Notamacropus eugenii: one gene and its partners. The protein of the gene in region 2 binds, or shares a complex with, the protein of the main gene of each other region. Links are inferred from orthologs where the notes say so. Each region holds a gene or a part of one and is shown on either strand. Other genes may lie near its edges. The genes, in order: GNAT3, RHO, SAG and GRK1.

Region 1 (7,813 bases), about 270 Mb from region 2:
GATAGACAACAACTACCATGATTTTTATGGGATAGTAGGTATGGATTCGGTTAACCTGAAAGAAAGAGAGGTGACTGAGTGATGATGGTAGAAAGTGAGTTTGGAAGTGGCAATGGGATCAAGGATTCCAATTCCCACACCTGGACCAGTAATCAGGGGAGTCAAGGAAAGTGCAACCAGTGCTGAAAAGGGTGGCTAGAAACTGTTTATCAGGAGGGGAGTCATTTCAGAGTGAGAATCAGAAGAAATAAGTGGGAAAGAAAAAGATTAAAATGAAAGTCAATTTGGAACCTACGGAGGACATTATTTCACTGAACACAGTGGAAAGGGTGAGCACCTTTAGAATGTGACAGTGGGAAGGTAGTGCTGAGGGGGATGAAGCTAGGGAATGGGCACTGGGGGATGGAGAATAGGATTTCTATAGCATCCAGAGCATCAGCATCTGAGATTTTGGCTGGGAGCGTTTTAATTATTGCTGAATAAAATCAGGAATGTTATTAACATCACTAGGGGTTCAGTCTCAAGGTGGTGTCCTCCCTTTATGTTTGGAAGTTCAGACAATGAGATGAGTACTGGATAGAGGAAATGAAATAGGATTTCTCTCCCATCCTTGCAGGTAGCCCAGACCAGGCCAGAAGACAGGCAGAGAAAGAAGGAAGGAATAACATCTCTCTGATCATCTGCTGGCAGGAAGAGGTCAGACTAACACAATAAAGTTCAGTCAGAACTAAACAGTGAAAACCAAGTGAATGAAAATGTTTTTACAGTACAAGACCCTTGAATGATAGTGTGTCCTTAATGAAGAAATACAACACATTTACCTAAATGAAAATTCCATGAAGTGTTCAACCAGTATACTGCTACCATGGTGAATGCATGGTGCCTGTGATATAGTAGACAGACAGCTGACCTCCAAGTGGGGAAAGGTTGGTGTAAAGTTGTTCCTTTGATCTAGACTGGTTTTGTGAGCCTGGACAAGGCTCTGCAGTGTTCTGAGAACTATGTGTTGCAGAAACAAGGCCCATTTGCATGAAGAGAGGTACTCTCCTCATCTGGGAATTCCGTATAGTAACATTATCCCGGGTCCAGTTCCTATTACTGCTAATTATGGCAATAAAGCCTAGAGCTAATATACAAGAGAGAGATTTATTTTAAAGTTCAATTGTTCCCAACTACTTGTAGAGATTCAATGACTTCAATCTTTATCGTTTCCTACATAGAATAACTATGAAGCACAGTTCTTCCCAATTTTGTAAAGTTATTTGGTATTGGCCATGCCCAGCTATTCGCAATGATGTATTCCAATGGTATAAGAATACATCTGTTTGTATGTATGGGTAGTGAACTGAATAAAGGAATCTAACCTTTTGCCATTTCACAGGGATGCCATGAAATTTTCACTTATGAGATCATAGATTTAGAGCAGGAAGTACATGAAGGAATGAATAGATGACTGGATAAATAAATGGATAGATAGATGGATAGTTGGATGAATAAATGACTGGAACAGCATTTATTAAATCTTTTTATGTGCCAGATATTGTGGTAAGCCCTAGGGATTCAAATAGGAGTTTGCATTCTAAAAAGGGAGACAATATTATAAGTTTCAGAATCAAGTTATGTGGAAGGGCCCCATAGTCTTTAGTGTGAACTTAGTCCCCTCATATAATTATTTCCCCATTTTAAAGATGAGAGAAGTGAGCCTAAGAGAATTTAAATGACTTGCCTATAATTACAAAGTTAGTATGAGAGGCAGGATTTGCAACTGAGACTTCTGATTCTGTCAATTACTATATGCACTGTGCCATGTTGTCTCCCAGTCAAATTAACACTGTTATTGATTTTTTAAGGTTGATTGACCAGTCAAATGAGTGAAAACAGTCAAATACATTTTGTGTCTATACAAAATAACTGGTAGCAAAGACCACTGGGGGGCTAACCTATGTTGTAGTAGTTAGATGTTGGGCATCGGGTCAGGAAGACCTGAGTTCAAATTCTGCCTTAGACATTTATTGTGTGACCCAAAGCAAGTCACATCCCTTTTATGCCTCTCAGAGAGGCTGGAAGTCATTCAGAGTCTCTCTTAGTGTCCTTATCTGTAAAGTGGGTATAGTAATAACAACTATTTTACAGGGTTATTGTGGAGATCAAGTAAGATAATAGATATAAAGTGCTGTGCAAACCTTAAAGAACTATATTAATTCCTAATGTTGTTTTTACATTGATTCTGCAAATGGATTCTCTGCTCCATTATCATGGAGTGAGGACTGGGGGCTTGAGTTTCATTAGAAAACTATATCATAAACTCATGTTTACAGTGTATATCAGTGAAGGGAAGCAATGGAGTAAACGGGGATAACCCACTTTAAACCTAAGGAGAAATATTGACTATTGGACTAAAGCATATGACCAATGGGAACCAGACTCCCCCAGGTAGTGCCTGCTCTTTTATATTATGCACGCACATGAATAACTATGTTGTGTTGTTCCAGTTCACCATTACTTGGTTAGGATAAAGACCCCAAGCAAGATCTGCAGTCTTCTTCCATTCCAAGTATTCACCAATTTGTAGCCTTCTTATTCCTATATTTAAGTAAGACACTTTGGTTTCCCTCTTCTTGGAATGTTCTTTCTTTTTCCTTTTACCTTGGGGATTTTGATTTGAGCATTAAAGAAACTCTTTTAATGCGTACATTCTTCTTATGTTTCCTGAGTTATCAGAATTTACTATTTACATTTGTCTGTCTGCTTACACAATTCCTTGTGGAATCAGGTGCTCTGTTCGAACAGGTGGGCTTTTGCATATTCATATTGCAAGAAAATATGGTGCTAAGTTAAATATACTTTCCTGTTTTGTTTATTTTTTTCATATAAAATGATTAGGCTGAGTATATGACCATTGCCTAAAACATTTTTGTTCTTATCAATCAAGAGAAATGCCATGATATTTTAAAGCAATATATTATAAATGTGAGTATATATGAATATATAGTTATATATGTATAGACATGTAATGTATACATACATGTGTTCTTACATGTACATACATGTGAGTAGTGTATATACATATGTACATACATATGCATTCATATATATAAATATAAATATATATATATAAAATCAAAGTGATGGCATGATCAAGTATCAGATGGAAGTCTAGACAATGATAGTTCAAATCCTTCCTCAGAAATTTACTTATATTGCAAGTGCAACTCATAAACCCTCTGTCAATGAGCTTTATCATCTGTAAAATGAGGGGGTAATAATATCTATAGCAAGTATATCACAGGGTTGTGTGACAGTCCCATGAGATAATGTATATAAAGTGCTTTTAGAAACTTTTAAGTGCTATGCCAATAAATTATTTACATGTGTTTATACAGATGAACATTTACACATATTTAAATATACATGGTACATATATACATATACATATATACATACATTCATATATACTTTCTATATATATATATACATATATACATGTATTTCACATGACCCAACTGTGTACATGGGGAGGAAAACTTTAGGTTAAATAAGCATCACCTTATTTTTATGAAAATTTCTTGTGTTTTAAATATTAAGTTCACGTGATCTAGATTTTCAATTTCTATTTTATTCAATATGGTATAACATGGGAAGCCTGGGAAAGATACAAATGAGTATATGGTGTTTTTATCTATAAGAAAAAAAATTATTCAAAACTATTATATTTCCCACACCATTTGGCTCCAATTAAGAAATTATCTCATCCAATGTAGCAATTGGTGCTTTAGTGCCAGTCAGAATTAATGTACTCCCCAAAGTGAGTAATAATGCCGCGTTCCAGACACAATCAACATTCAGTGAATGCTAATGAGTTGACTTTCTCAGACGCAGTGATAGACTCAACTGGTGTAGATGGACTATTTAAACACAAAAATCAAGAATTTAGTAGCCCCAACTGATGAATACCATATTTGTAGGAATTTGGAACCACATAAAAATATAAGAATTGTATTTCTATTTTTCCTGCATGTTTAAGTGAAAGATGCAATGAAGTCTGAGGAATTAAAAAAAACAAACAAACATCTTTCAGGAATTAGAAATTACAATAAATTGTCATGATGTGTTTATGAAATCTAAACGTACATTAATACCATAATCTTCAAAAAATCTGTGTAACAATATTATTTTCATAGAATAAATCATTTCCATTTTTAGCACTTCTCTTTCTAGAGTCATAGGATAATAGAATCACACATTTAGAACTAAAAAGGAACTAAGAAATCATCTAGTCCAACACCTTCATTTTATAAATGGCAAAACTGAAGCCTAGGGAAGTTCATTGACTTGCCTAACGTCACCCAAATACTAAGTGGCAGAACTGGATCCAAACCCAGTTCTCCTGACTTCAGATCCACTAGACTTTAGAGTTTTCATTTCACTCTGGAAAAAAAGAAGAAAGTGAACCACTTAAACAGGAAACACTTTTCCATCTCCAAAGCTCTTTCACATTTGAGGCTCTTTTTTAAAGTTGTGGTGCTATCCAGATTCGGCATGCTTTCTTTTAGTGGATATAATTAGTCTACTCCCCATCAACCCTCACCCTCAAAGAAATATTCCCCAGAGGATCACTAAAGTGCCATGTAATTTGAAAGCCTAATGAATTTCCCCTTCAGATTCCCTGGGTCAGGTGACAGACTGGAAAGCAATTCTTTAGTCAAAACAGGACCTATAGATAGATGATTGGAGAGACAGTTTGGGACTTCTGCATAGTACTCTTCTCACACTGTGTATTTGGCCTACAGCTGTGCAACTGGTTGTAATATTTTATTTTTAAAGAATAAACTGATTATCCAACAATTCAACATGGGGAGTGGAATAAGTTCTGAGAGTAAGGAATCAGCCAAAAGATCAAAGGAACTTGAGAAAAAACTTCAGGAAGATGCAGAGCGAGATGCCCGAACTGTAAAGCTTCTCCTATTGGGTAATATTTCTCTTAATTCATATTAAGAATAATTTCCATGTTTTAAACTTAGTCTCAAAGGTAAACATTTTGCAAAGTTTTATATAAAATATTAATGCAGATCTTCAACTATATATCACATGCTTTGTGAAATATGAAAAATCATATTTTCTATTATTTTATTTATGGGACTTTATCAAAATACAGCCTAAATTGTCTAGAAAGCTAAAATAGTAAAGCTAGAATAGCTTAAATGTTTTTCTCATGTCTCTTTAAGGTCTTTAGATGGCATATGTGAGTTTTTATTTTTGAACAAATATTAACAGACCAACAATAAACGCAGCCAGAGTTAAGAGTATCTATCCACTGAATAACATACTGTCACAATTTTCACTTTGAGAATTTCCCCTCATTCACCTCATTCTCTATTGGTCAGATTTTAGAAGTTGAAAATTAAATGAACAAACATATTGCGTTATGGGGTGTGTGTGTGTGTGTGTGTGTGTGTGTGTGTGTGTGTGTGTGTTCATAATACTCTAATAATTCAAATGTTGATCTTTTTAAAGATATTATTGAACACGTAGACATGAAAAACAAAAGACATAAAAAACAAACATTTATTAGGACTATGTACTTCCTTAGTGAAAACTGAATTTTGTAGGGAAAATATAGTGTTACCTAACTATTCTCTCTAATAATTAATAATAGCATTAATATTGTACTTCAAGATTTGAAAAACAGTGTATGTTATCTTATTTGATCATTTCAATCTATGATGCTCTATAAGTAATAATATATCTTTTAAATTCATTTTTGTTACATTCAAAATGTCTTTAATTAAATGCCATAAATAGAATGTGTAATTTAATGGAAGTTTGAACCAAAATTCTTGCAGAGAACGAGCTAAGAAGCATCAAAATGAACGCATTTTAAATTCATCTCTTCTCACAGATATCCTGGGTTAATTGTCTTACAAAATAACAAAGTCATTTTATTACTCTTTATTTACTACCCAGGCCTTGAAAGAAAGAACAAATAAGAAAGTCTTACATGTATGAGCTATATGCTGTTTAACTTTTTGCCTGAATCTTGCACTTTTCACTTCAATGGTCACTTGTGACAAATGCTTGGTATTAAACATGTATGATGAAAAGATTTCCAAAATTGGAATTCTGATGTAAGAAGTGGATTTGATTCATCCCTTTTCAAGACATGTATTAAAAGAAGCAGGGGGCATGGGGGCAGGAAGGCAATAGAGATGGAAAGGAGTAAAATACTACTTCTTGGTGAGATTTTAGGAAATAGAACATTGGATTTTTCATTTAAATTTAAGAATTGGGATGTTTCACACTAAAAATGCTATATGTATATGTGTATGTATGTATGTGAGTGTGTGTATATATATATATATAAATATTTTATTTGTGCATATTTATATACAACATTCACGAATGTATACCCCCCCATATATATATGTCTATACCAGTATAAAAATCATGTGTGTATATTTATAATTATGACCAGTTTTATCCCTGACTAATGAGGCTACTTTTTAAACTCACCTTGGGATCCACAAAAACTGTGGTTTGTAAAGTCAAAGAAATCATTTTCTTTTTCTCTCAATGTAGATTCTTTGATTGTGAGCATGATCACAACACTCCTCTGTATTCGCGCCTTCATTTAATCAATATTTATGAAAGGCCTGTTTTGTTCAAGGCTGCAGTATTTTTTAATAGTCTACTATGAAGTCCCATCTGGACTGGTGGAGAGAAAGCTGGCCCAAGAAGAAGGAAAACCTATGTCTAAGCTCCCCTTTCATCACCCGTTGACCATACATACATACATACATATGTACACACACAGAGCTAACTATACATACATACACACATACACATACACACACAAATATCAGAGTAGAATAGAAGACCAGTCATCTCATGCTCACCAGGGTATTTTTAGAGGTAGCTCTGCCTCAATTTTTACAGCTATAGGATGGGGGTAATAATACCTACCTTCCAGGGTTCTTCTGATTATCACATTAAATATGATTGAAAAAGGCTTAGTATAGTGCCTGACACATAGTAGGTGCTTAACAAATGTTTTTCCTTTCTTGTGCTTTTCTTTCACACTGAACAAATAATATGCACGAAACCTATATTTATAATTATTTCTAAAAGCTAAATCTCTGCTATTCCTTTTGTAGCCATAATTCTTCTCACCTGTGAAAAATCTTACCAAAGAGCTGAATTAATCAGGACAAAATCCAATTCTTTTAAAGAAAGTGGACAAATGAAAATTCTACAGAGCTAAATAATCTCTCCTCTTTCTGTGTGTGTGTGTGTGTGTGTGTGTGTGTGTGTGTGTGTGTGTGTGTGTGTGTGACTAGAGCTCAGGGCTTGGATTCAGAAAGATCTGAGTTTGAATCTAGCCTCAGACACTTACTAGCTTGGCAAATTGTTAAACTCTCTGGTTCTCAAATTTTCTCATCCACAAAAGGATAGGACTGGACTCAATTGCATTTAAGGTCGTGCATAGCTCTAAATTTATGATCCTATTTTTAAAAGCCTCTGCTCAATATTCTCCTTTCTAAAAATCAAACAGTCCAAGTGCTTGCTGTGTGCAAAGTAGTATGTTTGGGGCTATGGAACAAACAAAAATAAATCAGATATAGTTCTTGCCTACTGAACTAAATGAACCCAGTTCCTTTATTCATAGTGGCTCTTCACCCTAACACAATGGATTGTAATGTATTATATTGCTCTCCTCTGGATCCGATCTGGGTTCTTTTTGTCATGCTTCTGTAGTCAAGAGCAAATTAGCAAAGTATTCTAAGAAAGTTCTTAAGTGATGTCAAGTACGGACAGA
Region 2 (6,922 bases):
CCCTCGTTTAAGATGGAATCTGTCAGGTCTCATGAGTTTCTCAGAGACCAGTTCCATAAAGATACAAAAGGGTTGCTGTTTGTTCTTCATTTCTGAAAAGGACCAATGACATCATTGGATTAAAGAGAGGCAGTTGTGCAAAGTCATTAGCCTCACTCTTCCAGAGTTAGTGAAGTCCAGTGGCAAGACAAAGATGTCAAGATGACCAGGATGCAGTAGGTGACTTTGGCATCTTTGATGTCTGACCAAACTCTAGGCGCTCCATGGTGCCTGCTTTAGCCAACTTCATGGCCCTTGGAACAAATGTTCTCATCTGCCCATTCTATGTGGGGAAGTCTTTGTTTGCTTGGGGTAGACATCTCTAACTCACTGATGGCTTTGAGGCAGACTACCACCTCTGGTGTGAGGGTTTGCCAAGCCCTTTTCAGAGCTGCTTATACACCTTGGGTGCCCATCTGTCACCCATCTCTTACCTGTGGTTCCAAGAAACTGTAGCAGACACAGCAACCACACAGATCATCTTGGCAGATGAGCCAGGTTGAGGGTAACCAACAACAAAGATGTGAAAATAATGAAGACAAGAACACTTTGAATTTTTGTGACTCCCCACTGCTCACAGGATAAAGCCCATCCTTCTCAGGGGGACATTCAAGGTCCTCCACACTCTGGCTTAGTGTCTTAGATTTTCCTTAAACACTCGCCAATGAGACTCAATGCTCCAACCTGACTGGAAAATTTACTGTTCCTAACCATGCATGACAATTCCACCCTGGTCCTCTGCTCATGCTGCCTTGTTCCACTTCCCTGCCAAGTCACTCACCAAACTTTCTTCCCCTTCTCCAACTGGATCCTTCCCAATCTTCAAGGCTCAGCCCAAATCTCACCTCCTCCACAAAAGCTTTCCTAAAACCCCAGGCCACATGTACCTTGCCCACATGGAAACTTTTGTCTAAAAATTTCCTCGTGATATTTCTTCTATTGTTATTTTTATGTTTATGTATGCTTGCCTTGTCTCCTCGTTTTAGCCTGCAAGCTGTTTCAGGACAGGGATTTTGCTATATGCTATATGTGTGTGTATGTATATATATGTATGTATGTGTGTGCGTATATGTGTGTATCCTCCTCCCCACACACATACTTCTCTCATCTTCTCCCCCTCCACACCTGGTACAGTACCTTAAATATATTAGGTAATCAGTATTTCTTAGATGAATTAATAACATTTTATATTCACTCATGCAGCAAACATTTATGTAATCAATCAACCAACAAGACTTCTAAAAGTATCTATTATATGCTAAGAGCTGTGCTCAATGCTGGAATTATAAAGACAAAAATGAAAGTCCTTATCCTCTAACAGGGGAGACAAAACACACACACACAGGCACATATAAATACACATGTATATGCATATGTGCACACATCTACAGCTACATGTACACATGCAGTCAACACATATGTGTATGCATGTATATACATATAGGTATTGTACACATGTGTGTGTATGTATGTATGTATCACACAAAGAAAGCAGGTACAAGATAACCTGGGGGTGGAAGAGGAAGGCCCTAGCAGCTGGGGAGAATTAGGAAGCATCTCATGGAAAATTTGAGATGAGTCTTGAAGGAAAGCAGGAACGTTAAGAGGCAGGTGAAGTGAGTGCTTTCTAGACATCAAAGAACACTGACCCAAAGTCCTACAGTGGATGTGGTATATAGGAGCAAAACGGTCATCATGGTTGAACTATAAGGGGCTGGAGGGGAATAATGCGCAATAAGACTGGAAAGGTAAGTTAGAGTCAGTTTGTATGAAATACTGGAGGGGCTGTGGGAAAATAAGTCTATTCGTTCACTGTGGGTGGAGCTCTGAACTAGTCCATCCACTCTGGAAAGCAATTTGAAAATATGCCCCCAGAGTATTAAACTGTGCATCTACTTTCCAGGGCTGTGCTGGAGCTAGCTCCAAGAGCAGAAGAGCTGATTGTTAAATGTTCAATGTGAGCATTTATATGTTAGAAATCATACCTTCATTTATTGTTTTTTTCTAGACTTAAGAAAGGAGAAAATATTAATAATTCACTTAAACATATGTTGTTCATATATCCCCCCCATCTTGAAAGCCGGTTGTTAAACATTCATTAGCACGCCATTGCCTTTGACTCAGTGATGCCACTACTAGGTGGCATCAACAAGAAAAGGGGAGGGGGAGGATGTACATGTACAAAAATATTTACATCAGCTCTGTTTGCAGTGACAAAGAACTGGAAATTGAAGGGGCTGCTCAGCCCCTGCCTGATTGGCTGCCCTAAAAGTCCTCTAGAAGCCCACATTCTAGGAGAGTGGATGTATCCTATCTCTAAATAACTATAGTATCCTAGAAAGCTGATAAATGTTTGAGAAGCATTAATAATTAATAATAATAAATAGACATATAGTGCTTTCAGGTTTGCAAAGTGCTTTCATTACTTGATCTCCTTTAAACGTCACAAAAACCCCATTGGGTGGTTTCTGTACCATAGGTATTATTGTATCTGTTTTATAGGCGGGGAAACTGAGGCTAGAAGGAGTCAACATTGGCAGTGGGATTTGAACCTCCATCTTCCTGAGCAGAAGTACAACATTCTGGCCAATGTATTATCCTGCTTCTGGTACTGTGCCTTGAATGGTGGAGTAAGCGCAGCTGAATTTATTTGCTTAGGGAACACGGCCTTTTCTCTCTGGAGTGGCAGGCAGCATGGTGGAAAGGATAGAAAACTGACTTTGGAGGATGGAAGGTCTGGGTTCAAGTAGGGTCCCTGGGCCATTCAATAGGTAAGTTGCTTGGTTTCTCACGCAACTCTCCAACACTGTAATTGGACAAGTAGGAAATGTCCAAGTAGATCCAGACCTTGAAGAAATTTCTCCAAGTTAGCTGCTGTTTGTACTTTTTGAAGCATTTTCCACAAAGGAAGTGCATTTCACAAATGAGGAGCATCTCCACAAGCCTGAGAGGCAATCAGGATAGTAGGTATTCTCTCCATTTTACAGATAAGGATACTGAGGCCCAGATAGGCTGGAGCGCTGCTGAGTCCACAGAGTGTTCTCTTAGAGCCAGGCTCTGGGACCTTCTCTAATCCAGGCCTCTTTCCCTTCTATGGCAACAGTTTTGGTCACTCCTCCCAAACAGTCGTCTGACGGGGTGGACAAAATCTCCTTCTTCTTTTGCAAAATGAGGATGGGCTTCGCATTCACCCAGACCTCGTCTCATCCCTGTCTCATTGGTCTTCTGTTCCCTTCTGTCCATTTTAAGAGGCCACTTTCATTCAGAAAATAGTTGAGCAAATTAATGCAGTCTTTTGGGATCCATAAATGGTCATTCCAGCCTTGCCCAGGAAATAAAAGGGGAATAAGAGTCAGTCACACTGCAAGGGCGAGGGGAGAGGAACATTTTTGTGTTCTTTTAATTGAGCCTAGTTTCTTTCAGGCATCACACAGCTGCTCCCTGGCCAAGGCACTACATGATTTTAGCTCTCCTTTCTTGATGGGACACCCTTGGCCCAGAGCTACTTATTAATGAGATCCACTCAACTCCTCAGGACCCCTTCCTTGGGGGGTCTCAGGCCTAAACTTTCCCACTCCAAGAGATCCTGTCTCTGTAGTTAACAAGAGTCACCTTGGTGCCTTCCAGGGAAGCCAATTAGTGCTTGCCAACCTAGCTGGATTATTATGATTAATTATGCCCTGAATCTTCTGGGTGCTGACTCCATAGAAGGAGGGCTTACCCAGAGGGGGTCACTTTATAAGGACCTCAAGCCACAGCTCCCAGTTCCTTCTAATGTGGCTGATCTAGCCTCTTGTCCCACTCTGGGAAGGAGAGGAGGAAGGTCCTTGTCAGTGGCCAGTCCCCTTTAGGCCCAGGGCAGAGAGAGCAGCGCTACAGCCATGAATGGCACAGAGGGACCCAACTTTTACGTCCCTTTTTCCAATAAGACTGGTGTGGTGCGGAGCCCTTTTGAGGAGCCTCAGTACTATCTGGCCGAACCATGGCAGTTCTCCTGCCTGGCGGCTTACATGTTCATGTTGATTGTCCTGGGTTTCCCCATCAACTTCCTCACCCTCTATGTAACTATTCAGCACAAGAAACTGAGAACGCCCTTGAACTATATCCTGCTGAACTTGGCAGTTGCTGATCTCTTCATGGTTTTTGGTGGTTTCACAACCACCCTTTATACCTCCCTGCACGGCTACTTTGTCTTTGGACCCACTGGCTGCAACCTGGAAGGATTCTTCGCCACCACAGGAGGTGAGTGGTTCCCTAGGAAAATGATGAAGAGATCCCCTTCCTGTCTATCCATCGTTGGAGAGGGAGGAGAAGATCTCCGGGACTAGGGCTGAGTGTGTGAGGTTGGTCAAATAGGGGATACTGGCAGAATTGAAGATTCTAGGCTTAGAGCTAGGCCTCCTTCTCTTAAATGCAGAGGTGGGGAATTATGGGTGTAGAACAATGCATGAATTTGTTGAATACAGTCATGGTGTTGGTTAATATTTCCAAACTGCTTTTTTTCCTCTTTCTTTTCAAAGGAAAGCCTTGTTTTCCTTTCTTTGTTGTTACAAGAGATGGTTCAGTAGATAGAAGAATGAGGAGGGATATATCAAAAACAAATATTTTTAAAAAGATCAATAAAAGGAAGAAATATTTAAAAAAAGATTTATAGTTGCACAGGTCATTTCGACCAACCCTGTCATATTACGGGTGAGGCAGCTGTGAACAGGAGAGGGGAAGAAATTTGTCTGAGGTTATGCAGGTAGCAAGGGGTAAAGCCAGCATTTGAACTTAGGTCCTTTGACTTGAAATCCAGTGCTCTTTTTAGTTGCTACCACCCTCTCCCCAAACACATGTCAGTTCCAAGATGGGAAAGGGACCTGGGAGTATTTGAGAGCTCTTTCAGAGCAATGAAATACTTTAGGGGAATGATTTGGAGAGAAGAAAGAACAGTAAAGGTATCTGACATAGACATAGCTCTAACCAGTGCTAATGTATCCCCCTTCCACTCACAACATTTTGCCAGGAAAGCTTGAAGCATGAGCTATTTCACAATTTCAAAGATTTAACGCTGAAAGGGACCTTAAGAGATTCCAGCTTAGGGCTGGAAGGGAATTTTGGGATCATCTATTCCAACTCGTTGTGTTTACAGGTGAGAGAAACTAAGGTCTCAGGACAAGGGTGTGCTGATAAATATTTAACAACCAGTTCTCTGAATTATTAACATTTTCCTGCATCATTTTTTTAAGTTTAGACACGCACACACACAAACAGATCAAGCCCTGGTTTATAGATTTTTGAGATGTAAATGGTCACATTGAAAATTTAGCCATTGGCTCTAATTAGCTGGTTGGAGCTGGCTCCAGGACATCCATCCCTACCCAGAGACTTGCCCAAGGATGCCCAGTGGCAGGGCTAGATCCAAGGTTAGTGGAACTTGGGTCCAGTGCCCTTTTAGGTACACACAGGAGTTACTACCCTGTAAGTGTGTGCTTCAGGTGTTTTCCATAGATTATGGGATTATAGGATTTGTATCTGGATGATTATGAAGTTTAACCTTCTCATTTTACAAAGGAGGCAAGTGAAGGTCAGAGAGACTTGTCCAAGGCACTCATCTAGAGAGGAGAAGAGCTGCAATTAAAATTCAGGTCCTCTGAGTACAAATCCAGTTGTCTACACCCTGCTGCTTGGTCTGCTTGTGTTTTCATACATCCCGCAATGGGTTATTAGCTCTCTGAGATCAGGGATGCAGTCTTTTCTCATCTCTGTGTGTGGCATACTCCAGAGTTTTGCATTCAGAAAGGATTTTGTGATTATGCCTGTTAGACAAAGAGAGAATCACAGAATCAAAGAATCTGAAATTGAAAGGGACTTTATTGACTCTCTCATCTGACCCATACCCTAAAAGATTCCCTTCTATAAATATTTCTGACAAGTGGTCTTCCAGCTTCTCCTTGAAGACTTTCAAAGTTGGGAAACTCATCAACCCTTGAGGTAGCTCATTCCATTTTTGAACAGTTCTAATGGGTAGGAATCTGCTGTGCTCCCCTGAGCTCTAGACCTGGGCTACTTCTGGGCAGAAGATCAATAGAGGAATATGGGTGTGGGTGGATGAGTGCCACAGAAGGGTACAGCTGAGATCCCTGGGGAAGTTCCTCTGAAGGGACAGTCTCAGTTTCTTCCAGCTTGCCTTCTCTATATAGAATAACAGACCATTTCTACCTCTTAGTTAGTGATGGAGCATCCAGAAGGTGGAAGAGATACAAGAGGGTCTCTGAATGGTTAGTTATCACATGCTATCTGAGGTGTGATCAGAAAAGATCCCTGACCCTGAAATTCCACTGTTCCCTTGGGTTAAACATTACCCTTTCTTTCCCAGGGTCTTCTTTAAAGATGCAAATATCCTTAAGCAAGGATCTAATTAAGTCCCTAATACCTCCCAGAGAGCAACCTTATCAGATGTCTTCCAAGCTAAGGGGTTGGAGCCAAGGGCAGCAGGAAAGTTTTTAGAACTTGGGATATAAATGGTGCTGAATGGGGGTGGGGGTATGAAAGGCAGAAAAAGAAATTTTGCCTCTTGCCCAATTTTGTACTGAGCTGATCGTGCATAATATTATGAGGGAGCTGAAGAGAATGTCCGGATTTATTTGGGTCTTGAACTCCAACCTTCCTTCCTCTCCCTCTCTTTGTCCTTTCTTTCATCCTCCCTGCTTTTCTACTGGGTCCTCTAAAGCTGGAAACATTTCTATTGTATCTTTCAGGTGAAATAGCTCTGTGGTCCTTGGTGGTTTTGGCCATTGAGAGATATGTGGTGGTCTGCAAGCCAATGAGCAACTTCAGGTTTGGGGAGAACCATGCCATCATGGGGGTCGCCTTCACTTGGGTCATGGCTCTGGCTTGT
Region 3 (7,813 bases), on a different chromosome or scaffold from region 2:
CAGGCCCCCAAATCCTCAGGACTCATCCCTTAAGTCCCCTCTCATTAATTGAGGAATGACTCTGAGCCAGTGGATTTCCATCGTTGAGTCAGTTTGCTGGAGAGTAAGGAGCCCTGGGGCCATTACTGGCTGTGTGACCTTGGGCCACCTTCACCTGTCTGGGCCTCAGAGCAGCTCCCTGCTCCCACATTCTGTCACTACCATTCATGAGCCTTCCCTCCACAAGGAAGGCCCAGCTCCTTAGCTCTTTGTAGAGGTTCTTGGAGACCCCAGGAACCCCAGGGTCATTGATCTGGAGCTGGAAGGGACTTTAGAGGCTACACTTTTATTTGACAGATGAGGAAACTGAGCCACAGAAAAGTCAAGTGACTTGCCCAGGATCATACAGCTGTCTAAGGTAGGACTTGAACCCAGGTCTTCCTAACTCCAAGTCTATAGGTCCAGTAGCTATCTCCTTAGCTTTCTGGCAAGGACCCCCAGGCCACAGGCCCAAGGTTCCTGTTTCCTTCTGCTCCCTCCTATCCCAGGAGGCCCCATCCCATCACTTCCTCCTCTTCCTCCTCCCAAAGTCTAGGCTCCAGTTTAGGGGTTTCTGGGCTGTGGATCCCCTTTGTCTGTGGCTCTTATTTATTTTCTCCACTTGTCCTGAAGCTCCCAGAGAGTTAGTCATCTTTGCCTCCTCCCCCTCCCAACTCAGGTTGCTGGGATCTTGGGTGTTGCACGAAGTAGGCGCTCAGCAGATGTCTAAGGAGCTAATAAAGCAGCCTGGTCATTCATCCTGAGCCTCCCCCCTTCCCCCAGCCCCTGAGCCACTCACCGACTTGTCCCTGGAGACCTTCTTGAAGATAACGTGGTTTGGGGCATTCTTCACCCCGGTTGCCATCTTGGAAGGGCTTGTGGGAGTCCTTCAGGTGTCAAAGAGTCCTCAAAGGCAAGCGACGGCCTTGGATAAAGGTGCAGAGACAGGCCAGCTGAGATGCCAAAGGCAGGCTAGTGCACACATGTGCTTCTGAGAAGTCCTGCTAGCCTCAGTTTCCAAAAGCCAGAACCATGGAGTGGGATCATTGGTTGTGTGACTGTGGGCAAGTCACTCAACCTCTCAGTGCCTGCCATGTCTCTGACCTGTTGGGGCTCACAGACTCCTAGGGTTAGAGCTAGGAGGAAATCAGATCAAACTCCTTTCTTTTACAGATGAGGAAAGTGAGGCACACAGAGAAAGAGACACACACATTAAGTGACTTGTCCAGGGTCACAAAACAACCAGGATCTAAGGCAAGATTTGGTTAAGGAGCTGATCCACTTTGGTGGACAGAATATCCACACTGGGAATTCCCGACACTAAATGAAATCTTAGGTCTGGATCAAAAAATATTTAGAAACAACCAACCCAAAACTCCCAGCAAACAAATCCTAAACTACCCTCAGCTCTTCCTTCCTTCCTCCCTTCCTTCCTTCCTTCCTTCCTTCCTTCCTTCCTTCCTTCCTTCCTTCCTTCCTTCCTTCCTTCCTTCCTTTTCCTTCCTTAATAATTATATTTTTAATGAACAAAAATCTATTTTGTTTCTCTCTCAAATTCCCTCCCAATGAACGATAAAGAGAAAAAACCCTCATAGCAGATATACAGTAGTCAAGCAAAAGACATTCCCATGTTTATCCTCAGCTTCTAACAGTAGCTGGAAAATAGATCTTTTATACAGTTTGATTTTTAGGCAGAATGTCCTTAAAAAGGAAAAAAAAACCTACTTTACTAGTGTGGCACAACGGGATGACATTCTTGAAGTGGCTATCTCTGGGGAAGGTCTGAGTTCAAACACCACCTCTGACCCCGGCTGTGTGGTCAGGGGCAAGTCCCATAACTTTGCTGAACCTCTTGGGAGCTGAGCTGGTAGGACAAGTCTCTGCTGACATATTTGCCTTTTCTTATAAAACCTCAACAAAATGGACCTAATTGTGGTTCTGAGAAGTGGCAGATTCAAATGAGAAGATCTGGTCTTTGGATTATCCCCTTGGCTATGGCACATTCTTTCCTACCAGACCAATGATGGAAAAAAATCACCAGCCTGAGATGCTGAAATTCAGTATGAATTTCAAATTTAAAATCCTTGTGGATAATAAGGATGTCCCAGAGAACCAGAACCCATCACACAAAAAAGTATTTCATGCAGAGCAGCTCCCAGTCCCCCTTTCTTCTTTCCCTTCCTGATTCCCAATTCATTAGAGCACTGAGCTGTCTCCCAGCCTTTTTTGATCATGCATACCAGTGGTAAACCACTGTGGAGAACGTACCACCAATATGTGCACACTGACATTTAAATTAAATTATATTATTACACCATCTACAAAGACTATTGCATGAATTATTACTTAGCATTATAAAATTCATATGCAAAATAGAAATTGAAAAGGAATGAAATCATATTTGATTCTAGAGACAATAAGAAAGTTTAACAAGCATGGTAAGCAGGGTCAGACCCAGGATTTGTCTTCGCATGCTGAGTGGTGGTTCATGAGCCCCTTGGGGTTAGGCTGTGGTCTGCTGGGTAGGTATAGCCCCAACTTCGGACACCTCTACAGCAGCCCACCAAAGGGAGTAGCCAGCCTAGGTAACTTCACCTGAAGATCCCCCGAAAAGCCAAACAAGAGGAAATAAAACCAAGAAGTGGGGAATTTATTCAGCAACTTTGACTTCCCTTGGCCCCATTCAGATTTCTTGCTACACCAGTAACATCCATTTAATGACTGATTTACAGTATCTTGGTTTTTACCTGGAGTTCTGCTGGACCAGTAATGGCAGTATGGAGGCTCAGGGATTCGGGTTCGTCTCTTTCCAAGTAAGCTAGTGCTGTTCAGGCGGGACAATGTTCATGGCGGCCCTTTCCCTGAAGTGGATGAGAGTGAAGCCTCCCAAAGGATGAAGAGGGGAATTTGTAGCAGATTTGGACGGGCTGTCTAATGAGCTAGGCTGTGGCTGTTTAGGAGATAATCTCATGCATGGAACAGAACACAGGACCTGGATTAGCCCCTGAATCAGCAAACTGCTCTCCTCAGCAGTTCTGAGCATTAGCCAAGGAACCTCTTCTTCCCCAGCTCCATCTTCTCAGGCTCACCTCTCCAGTTGGTGAGGGAGGGTGAACATGCCATGGGGGTGGGGCTAGGAGGTAAGGTGGAGAAATGAAAGCTATTTTTCTCTTGTAAACCTCTTTGGTTTCTAGAAATAGATTGAATTCGCTTTCCTCATGAAGCCCCAGTAGGACAAAAGACTTGAAAATCTTAGGCTTAATTAGGCTGAACTAATGCAATGCCATTTTGAGGTCACTCATTTTAATAAAAAGGTCAGAAGGCGTGCCAGCCCCATGGGTATCTTAGCAGTAATAATTAGCTTGTTTCACTCATGAACCATTGCCAAATTCTCTTACAAGCTTTACCTGAGTATCAGCCACAGATGGATGATCTTGGACAATGAGGCTGGGCTTCCTGGAGTCTTCTCTGACCCCTAGGATTCCTGTGGTCTGAGTAGGTAGTGTTCATTACCACAAGGTGCAACCTTAACTAGGAAGAGGCAACGGTTCTCATTTATTTTAAGAAAAACAAATTTTAAAAATTTCATATTGCAAGTAGAATAAAAAACTGGGCTACACAAAACCACAAATTTCTAAGAAGAGCTTTCTTTAACCCCACAAAGTATACGATTCATCATGTTCAAAGTTATTCATTCACTGGGTCTGTTTCCTTCAGTTTTCTTCAATGCATTTAAAAAAATGCAGTGACCTCCTTCCTTCCTTCCTCTCTCCCTCTATCCTTCCTTCCCTCCCTTCCTTCCTTTTCTTTCTCTTCCTTCCTTTCTTTCTCTTTCTTTTCTCTCTCCTTTCTTTCTTTCCTCCTTCCTTTCTTCCCTCCTTTCTTTCCCTTCCTTCCTTCCTTCCTTCCTTCCTTCCTTCCTTCCTTCCTTCCTTCCTTCCTTTCCTTCCTTCCTTCCTTCCTTCCTTCCTTCCTTCCTTCCTTCCTTCCTTCCTTCCTTCCTTCCTTCCTTCCTTCCTTTTCTTTCTCTATTACTAGCTTTCCCCTTTCCCCAAAAACCTGTTCCCTCATGAAAAAAGAAAAACAAAACCTTCGAAGCCAATAAGTATGGCCAAGAAAAACAAATCCACCAACTGGCCATATCTGAAAGTGCTGTACCTTGGGCCCATCACCTCGTGGTTAGGAGGTGGCATCATTGCTTCATCAAGGCCGCTAGATGGTGCCATAGTGCATCAAACATCAGACCTGCAGTCAGGAAGTCTATTTGTGAGTTCAAATCTGACTTGCTAGTTGTGTGACCCTGGGCAAGTCACTTACCCCTGTTTGCCTCAGTTCTCTCATCTGTCAGATGAGCCAGAGAAAGAAATGGCAAACCACTTCAGTATCTCTATCAAGAAAACTCCAAATGGGGTCATGAAGAGTCAGACACAACTGAAAAATGACTAAACTGCAAAAAAATCATGCTTCATCATGGAAGTTGAGAAATGGTCAGTCATACTGATCAGCGTTCTTAGATCTTTCAAAGCCGTTTTCCTTGGCAGTGCTGTTACTGTATTAACTATTCCCTTGTCCATTTCACTCCACATCAGTTTCATGTAAGTCTTTTCAAGTGGTTACTTTTTATGGCACCATAATCTCATATACTTACATACCATAACTTTTTTTCAACTTACACCCTTCATTTCTAGTACTTTGCCTTAACACTAAGAGTTGCTATAAATATTTCTTGCACATATGGATCCTTTGTAGTGTCCCTGACCTCTCTGGGTACATAACCTAGCTGTGGTATCATTAGGCCAATGGGTATGGACAGCGCAGCATTTTTGGAAATGATCCCAGATTACACCCTAGAATGGCTGGACCAAGTCACAGATCCAACAGTTGAGTCCCCCTATCTTCTCATGGCCCCTCCAATAATTGTCATTTTCCATGACCGTCATTTTTGCCAATCTGATAAGTAAGATGTGGAACTTCAACTTGTTTTAATTCGCATTTCTTTAATTATTAGCACTTTGGAGCATACCTTAATAAGGCTGTTGATAACATGGATTTCTTCCTTTGAGAACTGCCTGGTCATATGTCTTGATTATTTATCAATCAGGGAATGGCTATAATTCTTACATATTTAAATCCGTTATATATCATGGATATCAAACCTTTAAATGAGAGACTTGCTGTAAAGATCCTCCCTCTTTTCTTCACTAACTACTTCTCTTCTAATTTTAACTGCATTTTTATTGTGCACAAACTTTTCAATTTTATAGAACCGTAATTGTCCATTTTATCTTCTATAATTCTCTACCTAATTTGGTCATGAACTCTTCCCACACTCATAGGTGCTGAAAGTCCTTTATTCATTGCTCCTGTTTGTGAAATGACTTTTAAAAAAAGAACTGGGTTATATATCTATCTGGAGATTGTTGTATATGGTGTGAGATGTTTGCCTGCACCCACTTTCCAGCGGACTGCTTTCCAGTGTTCCCAGGAGTTTCTGTTGAATCTTAAATTCACATCCCTATTATTGAGATCTTTGGCTTTATTTTTTTCTGTATGTTGCACATCTAATCTGTTGTGCTGATGGACAGTTCTCTTTTTTAACCAATACCAAAATAGTTTAATAGTTTTCTTTGGTTACTACTTTTTTGTGTAGTTTGAGGTCTGGCACTGTTGGACCCCCTTCTTTCCCATGTTTTTTCATGATTTCTCTTGAGAATCTTGTCCTTTTGTTCCTCCAGATTAATTTAATTACTTTTTTGATTCTAGCTCTCTCCATCAGTCATTTATTGCTATGACACTGAATAAGTAAATGAATGTACGTAGTAATGCCATTTGTATTATACTGGTATGGATTAGCTATGGGCGATTACTATCTCTTTGTAAAGAATTTTGTAGTTGTATTTACACAGTTCCTCTGTGTTTGGGTTAAAGTGAAGTCTTAAATAGAATGTACATTTCTGAATGGAATTTCTTCATGTATTCCTCTTGGGTTTTATGGCAATATATAGAAAGGCAGATGCTCTGCCTGGTTTTATTTTATATCTTTCTGCACCAAAGTTATTTCTATTAACTGAAAAATAAAAATAAAAAATAAGAGGGAGAGCAAGGGCCAGTATTATTCTTGGCTTCCTGAATCAAATGGGATCATGTCTAAGTTTCCATTCCAAATTGAGAGAAAGAACCCCTGGATGGCTGCTGATGGGCCAGGAGAAGTGGTTCCACCATCTGCTGGCTCTCCAGGTGCCTGGGAGAAGGATGGCATTTGGTGAGGAAACAAGCAGAAGTGTCCATGATCTCTTGCCTCCATGCCTGGGATGCATTTTCTCCCAGATCTCTGTTTTCCTCCAAAGGTTAGCTCAAATATCATCTCCCACAAGAAGCCTTGCCTGCTCCCCTTCCTCTGTCCCTTTCTAGACTGCTCCTCTATTGTCTATCTTTTACATTTACTTTTCTTTGTGTACATTCTCCCTTTCCATCTCCCATTACCCTAAGAATGGTTCTTGTCTTCTTGAAGGTAGAGACCATTACATTTTTTACTTATTATCTTCAGTGCCAGCACAACCCAGCACATAGTAGACACTTAATACTTGTTGAATGACAATGGATAATTGATTATCGGGCATTTCAAAGGGATCACATCATTAAATCTCAAACATGAAATGACATGGTTTGACACTTTTGGTCCATGGGAGCATATGACAAAGCCCCATCCATCGATTTTGGACACATAAGTCATGAAAAACATACTAGCAGTGCGAAGTTGGCAGCATTTGCTCCATCTAGGCTTCATCTCTGACAATTCAACAGCAATCCAGGGTGAAGATGATTATTGTAAGTGCTCAAGGGAGCCTTTTCCTTCAAAAGTTAAGCTTAATAGGACAGTTGCCAGAAAAATAATTTTTAAAATCTTTCCCTTTTCTCAAATCTCCGCAGTAAAGTAAAACAATTCCCAGCTCAGAAGTCTTAGAGTTTGCTGAAGTATGACAAAACAGTGAGGTGAATCTGGGCAAATCTATCACATCGAGTGCTCTGGACAACCTTCTAAGACAAAAATCGCATGGTTATCAGGGAGGGAGCTCCTCACAAAGATGAAGTCATAGGCCTGGACTGCACCTTTTCTCCCACACCTCCAAAAAAGCGGGCTATGATTTTTGCTGACATTTGGGCAAAAAATCTTGCTTCTGTGAAGAAGCGTGCTTCCGAGCTTTTCACCTCTATTCCTTCAGTCCTGGCATACCGAAGGGCTCTGATGTTTTAATAATCACAACGATTTCCTTATAGATTCTTCAGTTGGAAGGGACCAATCATCTGGCCCCATCCATGCCTCACCAGGAATCTCTGCACAACATTCTCAACCAGTTGTCCAGTCTGTTTGAAGAGCTCTGGAGAAGGAGCCCAGGGCCTCCTGAGTAGTCCAGTCCACTCTGAGACAGATCAGTTAGCAAGGTTTTTCTTCCTGTCAAGCCTCAGTTGGTCTCTTTGCAGCTTCCTCTTGCTCCTCTCTCATTTCTGGGCCCCAGGTTTGCCCTCTGGGGCTAAATAGAACCAGCTTCATTCCTCTTCCAAGTATGCAGATAGCCATTAAAGTAGGTGTGGGGGTGGGAGAAGGGGTGTGTATGACTGCTGCATAAACATCCGTTCCAATTAATCCTCCCTCCTATAGGCAGGGTCGTTGGCATCTTCGACCTTTCCATTTGCCCCTTCCTGGACCCTCACCATCTCCATAATCTCCTTCCTAAAGCCTGGTGTCCCAAGCTGAACCAAATACTGAAACACTAAAAAATTCAGAACATGTGCC
Region 4 (6,874 bases), on a different chromosome or scaffold from region 2:
AAGGACACAGTGACTCATGTGGCTTTTGGAAATCTATCAAATTCGAGGTCCCTGACTGCACACATATGGGACTTTTTATGCCCTTAAGTTTGCAAGGGAAACATAGAACCTCTTTTGTCTCTTTTTAGGGAAAACTAATCTCTGTCACAGTACAGTGTATAGAAGACTGGGCCTGAAGTCAGGAAGATTCATTTTTCTGAGTTCAAATCTGGCCTCAGGCACTTACTAGCAGTGTGCCCCTGGGCAACTCATTTACCTCTGTTTGCCTCAGTTTCCTCTTCTGTAAAATGAGCTGGAGAAGGAAATGACAAACTACTCCAGCATCTTTGCCAAGAAAAACCTAAATGGGGTCACAAAGAGTCAAACATGTCTGAAAAACAACTGAACAGCAAATCTCTGTTATAGGAAAAAAGAAGGAAGGAGAGGCCTGTCCTTCTTAGGTGGGAAAACATTTGTGGATTTTAGTTTGATCACACATTTAATCTTCATCACAACCTTTTAAATTAGAAAGAGCCTACTTTATTATCCCCATTTTACAGATGAGAAAATGGAAGCTCAGAGGACAGTTAATAAATGGCAGAGCAAAGACTAGAAATTAAATTGCCTGATTCCAGTGGTCTTTCCCTTATACCACACTTCCTATGCACCTTGTAATAATAATAATAATACCTAATATCTATATGATACTTCAAAGTCTGCAAAATACTTTACATGCATTTTCTCATCTGCTCCAGATAATGGCCCTGTGAGGGAGAGGCTACAGGCATCATCATCCCCATTTTACAGATGAGAAGACTGAGACTCGGAGAGGTTTGTCTTTGCTCATGGCTAGCGTCAGAGGCTTTATTTGAACCTAGGACTCCCTTGACTCCAAGTCCTGTGACCCTTTCTGCTCAAACATACCGCTTCATCAGCCTCTTGTGGAGAAGCGTAAGAAATCAAAGGAACTTTCATCTCTAATTATGGCGAAGAGTTCTGATTAAAGGTTAGTGCTGATTAAAACAAGTGCCTGAGCTGAGTTGGGGAGGCTGTCTTAAATGTATTTATATTATTCATGTTATTATGCTAGCCAACTCATGCATAATGATAGCTTTGACATTATTTGATGATGAATTATATCTTCTCTTAATTTGTATTCTTATCCTAAGTCAGCTGGGTGGCCTAATGCATAGAGCATTGGACTTGGAGTCAGGAATACCTAAGATCTAACTACGCCACAAACCCCTACCAGCTGTGTGCTTCTGGGCAAGTTCCTTAACTCCTGTGTCTCAGTTCCCCCATCTGTAAAAGGGGTTGAATTTGACCCTTAAGTTCCCTTCCAGCTCCCAGACTATGATCCTATGTCCTAAGCCAGAAGGACTTTGCAGGAGACCTGGTTTCAGAGTGAGATTCTATAACCGAGGCTTATTTTCATTCTTTCACTTTTGAGAAGGTTAGAAAGAAATATAAATTCAAGTTGTTATTCAGTCATTTCTAGTAGCATTTGGCTCTTTATGACCCCATTTGCAAAGATACTGGAGTGGTTCACCATTTCCTTCTCCAGCTCATTTTGTAGGTGAGGAAACTGAGGCAAACAGGGTCAAGTGACTTGCCCAGGGTCACACAGCTGGTAAGTATCTGTGGCCAGATTTGAACTCAAGAAGATGAGTTTTTCTAACTTCAGGCCCCATCCACTGCAACCTTGTCAAATTCAAGTCAGTAAGGAGTTATTATGAAATGGCCTCCCTGCTATCTCCACCTGTTTAAATTGTTTTCTTTTAAGTCCTAGGTCAATTTTTGTCATCTCTTCCATGAAACCTTCCTGATTTCCTCAGCTATAAGTAATCTTTGCTTTTTCCATTTTTTCTTACTATACTATACCTCTCCTATATATTTATTATGCATGAATGTACAGAACATCTTTGATTTCATAATCAGAAAGTCTCCAGTTAGGAACTCTTTCCACCTCAAAAAATTGTGACTCATCTGGGATTGAATCTATATGAACTAGAAAGGTGCTTGAGACACAAACAGTCCTGCAGATTATCCACCCCTCGATAACAATGATCTAACATTAATATAGTGCTTAGTTAACAAAGCATTTTACCTCCATTATTTGACTTATAGCCATACCCTGCTACTTTTAAATTCATATCATCTCCCAACCCTACCCTGGATCCTCTTTATTCTTTCTAATTCTCTAGCCCATTCCTGTATTCTGCAGACTATTTCTGAAATAATCTGTAAAGCCCTGATCTCATCTCCAAACTGATATCCTCTGGAAGGAGTTTTCTATCTGCCTATCAAACACACTGTGGATAAACTGCCACACTGGTGATATTTACTAAAAAGGGAGAAATACACATGTGTTTCCTTATCAGTTTTCCAGAAGATGGACTGTTTATTGCCAATCACCAGAGTTTAACTCCTTTCAGTGAGAGTATCATTTTTATTATCATCATATGTGTTCTTTCAATGTTAATATTTTTAAGAATAATTTTGTATAAATGAGGGATTTCTTTTGATCTTAGAGCACATACTGAGGAGTGGTTGTGGGCTAAGCAGTATGAACAGTTTAGTGACTTTTGTCAGATAATTCCCAATTTACAAAAGTGTGGGATTTTGTTTTTTTGTTTTTTTACCAATTCACAGCTACCTTAATCCTATTTTCATGTGCCTAGTCTCCTATAGGCTCTCTAACACTATTTCCAATTTTAAAAAATCGTGTACAAAATTCTTTCCTCACAACATCCATTTTATATCCCTACTTTATAAATCGTAACATCAGAGATTTATTGCTGCAAGAGACTGTGAGCTTCTAATCCAACTCCTTCATTCTATGGGGTGAGAAAACTGAGGCTCAGAGTACCTCAGTGACTTGTCCAAGGTCACATGGTTAAGCAATGAGGCCAGGATTTAGATATGGGTCTCCTGATTCTGAGGAGTCAACAACTCAAATGCGGCTCTTGCCATTATCAATAAACATCCATAAATTGCCTACTTTGTGCCAAACACTGTGCTAAAAGCTGGAGCATGATGCTTTGCTTTTAAATTCAGGATGTTTCCAGGAAATGGTATTGTATATTTAAAATGTTTTTTTTCTTCTTCTCAAACCTTCTTGACACTGGTTTTTCTTTTCACTTTCTTCTTTCTCATAAAGTAAAGTGCAGAAATAAAAATCCAGTTAGACAGGGGTTCTGATTAGTTATGTTAATACCTCATTAATTGGATTTTCTTGCGTGGAGGCATTTAATCTTCCAGGTTTATTTAACACCCTCCTCCAAAGGGTCTGACTAAACAAGTTTCAAATATGTTAATATTTTTCAACACCGGAACAGCGAGGTAGGGAGTCCAACTGTGTTTGTCCAAGTAGAATGCAGAATCAGAGGGAAAAATTGGTGATTTCTGGGTATTTTGTATCTTAAGTGGCCTTGCAAGGAACGTTACCCAAAGTATTCAAAATTTTCTAGGCAACAAAATAAATATGATCTTAAAGAGAGAGGGAGATGAGAATAATTATCTGCCTAATCAGATAAGAAGGCTACAAAGGTGATGACTCAGGAGAATTATCTTTTTCTGACCCTGGTTCATCACATCTAATTCAACCTCCACCTATATCTAAGGATCCCAGGGATTAGCATAGGTGCTGATCTTGCACATTACCTAGGAACCTGGGGATCTGTTTGTTTTTTACATTGCTTCTTCCTTGGTCATTGCACTGGACAGGACGTCTCCCTTGTCCCCTGGGAGGGCAGGAGGGTGCCACAGGCCAAGGACGGGTCATTCCCCAAAAATCAGTTCTGAGGATCCTCTCACAATTCAGCTTTAACTCGTGACTTCTCATGTGTGAACACAGAGACTGAAGAGCCTGAGGGATGGATTTTGGATCATTGGAGACCGTTGTGGCCAACTCTGCCTTCATAGCTGCCCGGGCCAGTATCGATGCAAGTGGTAGTTCGCATCTATCCCGGGACAAGAAGTACCTTTCAAAGCTCAAACTGCCTCCTCTCTCCAAATGTGAATCCCTACGGGACACTCTTAACTTAGAATTTGAAAACATTTGCTCTGAGCAACCTATTGGCAAGCGCCTGTTCCAACAGTTCCTAAAGAATGATGAACGGTATGTCCCTGCAGTCGAGTTATGGAGGGACATTGAAGACTATGACACCGCTGACGATGATTTTCGCCTTCAGAAAGCCCAGGGCATCCTTGCTGACTACCTGGACCCTAAGGCCAAGCTTTTCTGCAGTTTCCTGGAGGAAGGGATGGTTGAGAAAGTCAAGGAGAAACACTCAAGCATCCCCAATGGACTCTTCCAACCTCTTCTTGAAGTAGCTCTGCACTACCTGAGTGAGGTTCCCTTCCAAGAGTACATGGAGAGCTTATATTTCTTGAGATTCCTGCAGTGGAAGTGGCTGGAAGCTCAGCCCATCGGGGAAGACTGGTTTTTGGACTTCAGGGTCCTGGGGAAAGGGGGTTTTGGGGAGGTGTCAGGTTGCCAGATGAAAGCCACAGGCAAGATGTACGCCTGTAAAAAACTGAATAAGAAGAGGCTGAAGAAAAGAAAAGGGTATCAAGTAAGCAGCAGCAAATAGGTCCCAGCAAGTCCAAAGTAAATGCCTTTGAGATTCCCAAGATGGGGCAGAAGTGGGAGGTGGCAAGGTTGTGGGGCAGTGGGCATGGCAGTACATTCACTGGGATGTAGAAATTCAGTCACTCTCTTCACATAGCTCTAATACAGAGTAGAGGCTTGCATTTTGGGTATAGACAATCTTGACTTGGAGTAGTAGCCAAACTGTCCATGGCTAGCGTTCTGGTCAATGAAGCAACCATGATACAGTGAATAGAAAGCTGGCCCTTGAATCTGGACAACCTGGATTCAAGTTCCAACTCTGACATGTACTGGCAGTGTGATCGTAGGCAAACCATTTAACCTCTTAGTGCCCAGAATAATAGAGTGGCTGCTCTTCTACATTGGAAGAGGGAGTCCCCACCTGGGAGCTCCCTACATAGATGAAATCACAGGTCCAGACCAAAAAATATACATTATATCTTTAAGATGGGATACCCATACCTGGTGGTATAGGACTTGAGTTTCGATGTTTTATGACACTGAAAGCTAAATCACTAAGGGAGGAGAATGGATTGAATGACCTCTTAACACCCCTTCCAGTCCAGTGATGATATGGTTCACCTCTTCCAGTTCTATTGTTGTAATTAATATCAATTGTTTTAAAAGTAATCTGGGTATTACTTTGGTTTGTGGCCAACCCATAGGATATATCGGTATAGTAGTTATTTTATATATGTATATATACATGTATATATATACACACGCACATATATATGTATACATATGTATACACATGTACATATATGCACATATACACATACATGTATATACTTATGTGTATATTTTATATATATATATATATACACACACACACACACATATACACACACATACATTTTAAAACTACTACCTTAGAAATATAGCTGGAGGAATGCCTTATTCTTCCAGGTGCCTCAGTCTGGGTTTTGGAAATATACTCAGCACAATCATAACTTACTTTGTGCTCTAAAAAGAGAGGTACAGTTTTCCATAGTGGCTAGGGATAAAACCTGGACCTGTGATTTCATCAGAATAGGGAATTCCTGGTGAGGAAACTCCCTCTAACAATACAGATTGGCACCTTTTCTGCAATTTAAAATTTATTTGCCCAGAGCATTGAAAGATTAAATAATTTGCCCGGAGTCACAAAACCAGTATATGTCCCAGGTAGGACTTGAACCCAGGTTTTCCTGGCTAGGAGTCCAGCTTTATATCTATTATACCATATCTGCCTCTTAGGGATTTCAGTGACACCAGAGACCAACACTGACCTTCACCTTATAAGAAATGCACATTTCATCCTAACTTTTAAAAATTGCAGTTGTTCCATGTCATGATGGGGTCATGCTGCATGGGGTCCACTCCTCCTTCACTTATGCCAATGTTCCATTTGAGAAGGAGTCCCTGTTAATTTCTGTAAAGTGACTTGTAAACACATCTTTTTGGCCTTTCCATTGACCTTGACACATATCTGACCAAATGAGGTGCTCTGTTTTCCTCCAAAGGTTGCTCAGGGCAACTAGTACTATTACTGAGGCACTTTTCAAATGCAGGAAATTTGTAAGTAGGATCAGTCTGTGACTTGTTTAAAGAAACAAACCAACAAATGACATCCAACTCAATAGTGCAGTAGGAACCGTCTGAGACTGGTCTAAAAAAAGAAACAAATAGTGCACTAGTAGATGGTGTAGTGGGGACAGTCAATGACAGGGAGAAAGATAGAATCCAGTACTAGAATCCAGTACTATTTGGTGAGTGGGGACTGTCTATAACCGTAAGACAGAAAGAAAGGAAGGAAGGAAGGAAGAAAGAAGAATTAGCACATAACTAGGTGGTGATTGTGCTTGGTATGACCATATCTCTGGTCAATTGATCTGAACTGAAGAGGTTAAAGACAAAAATATTAAATCAATCGAGGGAAACATGAGTTCCAAGGAAAAGGCTGTAGAATTCTGATGATGGGATCTTAGAAAAGTAATAATTATTCTTTTTACCTGGTCAAGAAAGGTAGTTTGACATAAAGGAGAGGGAGCTGACTTTTAAACCAGGAAGACTTGAATTCCAGGGCTGCCTCTTCCACATGTTGTCTGTGTGATTCTGGGCACGACCCTTGACCTCTCTCTGTGCTGAATCTAAGCAACTTTCTAAGACTAGGAGTTGCAGAGGAGATGCTGACCTATATTGGTAAAGAGAGTTTCTTCTCATGGGAATTCCTCATGCCAGTGAAATCCCAGAGCCAGTCCCTCTCTCAATACTTACCATAATACCTTCTTCTTCCAGATC

What was found.
Region 1: the proteins of RHO (region 2) and GNAT3 are in contact, whole or in part, in a crystal structure (PDB 4A4M), measured with the Bos taurus proteins. The link is inferred for Notamacropus eugenii from reciprocal best matches to the Homo sapiens genes RHO and GNAT3. Residues at the interface, in NP_001014890.1 of Bos taurus: Leu72, Arg135, Val138, Val139, Lys141, Thr229, Val230, Ala233, Thr242, Thr243, Lys245, Ala246, Glu249, Val250, Asn310, Lys311, Gln312; in NP_001103452.1 of Bos taurus: Ile344, Asn347, Leu348, Lys349, Asp350, Cys351, Gly352, Leu353, Phe354.
Region 3: the proteins of RHO (region 2) and SAG are in contact, whole or in part, in a crystal structure (PDB 4PXF), measured with the Bos taurus proteins. The link is inferred for Notamacropus eugenii from reciprocal best matches to the Homo sapiens genes RHO and SAG. Residues at the interface, in NP_001014890.1 of Bos taurus: Arg135, Val138, Val139, Lys141, Leu226, Glu249, Val250, Met253, Met309, Asn310, Lys311, Gln312; in XP_010802144.1 of Bos taurus: Asp71, Ile72, Met75, Gly76, Leu77.
Region 4: the proteins of RHO (region 2) and GRK1 are in contact, whole or in part, in a cryo-EM structure (PDB 7MT8), measured with the Bos taurus proteins. The link is inferred for Notamacropus eugenii from reciprocal best matches to the Homo sapiens genes RHO and GRK1. Residues at the interface, in NP_001014890.1 of Bos taurus: Lys66, Lys67, Arg69, Thr70, Arg135, Val137, Val138, Val139, Lys141, Ser144, Asn145, Phe146, Arg147, Phe148, Glu150, His152, Leu226, Thr229, Val230, Ala233, Gln236, Gln237, Glu239, Thr243, Ala246, Val250, Met257, Ile305, Tyr306, Met309; in NP_776598.1 of Bos taurus: Leu6, Glu7, Thr8, Val9, Val10, Ser13, Ala14, Ile16, Ala17, Ala18, Arg19, Gly20, Asp23, Ala24, Glu184, Asp185, Trp186, Phe187, Leu188, Asp189, Phe190, Val192, Arg195, Glu200, Gln205, Met206, Lys207, Lys221, Arg222, Thr256.

The regions. Positions count from the first base shown.
Region 1 is NC_092874.1:157,595,510-157,603,322, reverse strand, and holds the start of GNAT3 (guanine nucleotide-binding protein G(t) subunit alpha-3), read left to right. Parts: upstream 1-4,798; 5' UTR 4,799-4,851; coding exon 4,852-4,969; intron 4,970-7,813. UniProt on the Homo sapiens protein: Guanine nucleotide-binding protein (G protein) alpha subunit playing a prominent role in bitter and sweet taste transduction as well as in umami (monosodium glutamate, monopotassium glutamate, and inosine monophosphate) taste transduction.
Region 2 is NC_092874.1:431,909,433-431,916,354, reverse strand, and holds the start of RHO (rhodopsin), read left to right. Parts: upstream 1-3,920; coding exon 3,921-4,281; intron 4,282-6,782; coding exon 6,783-6,922. UniProt on the Homo sapiens protein: Photoreceptor required for image-forming vision at low light intensity. Required for photoreceptor cell viability after birth.
Region 3 is NC_092873.1:60,271,037-60,278,849, reverse strand, and holds the start of SAG (S-arrestin), read right to left. Parts: upstream 3,011-7,813; 5' UTR 2,766-3,010; intron 944-2,765; 5' UTR 884-943; coding exon 818-883; intron 1-817. UniProt on the Homo sapiens protein: Binds to photoactivated, phosphorylated RHO and terminates RHO signaling via G-proteins by competing with G-proteins for the same binding site on RHO. May play a role in preventing light-dependent degeneration of retinal photoreceptor cells.
Region 4 is NC_092877.1:207,271,231-207,278,104, reverse strand, and holds the start of GRK1 (rhodopsin kinase GRK1), read left to right. Parts: upstream 1-3,854; coding exon 3,855-4,556; intron 4,557-6,874. UniProt on the Homo sapiens protein: Retina-specific kinase involved in the signal turnoff via phosphorylation of rhodopsin (RHO), the G protein- coupled receptor that initiates the phototransduction cascade.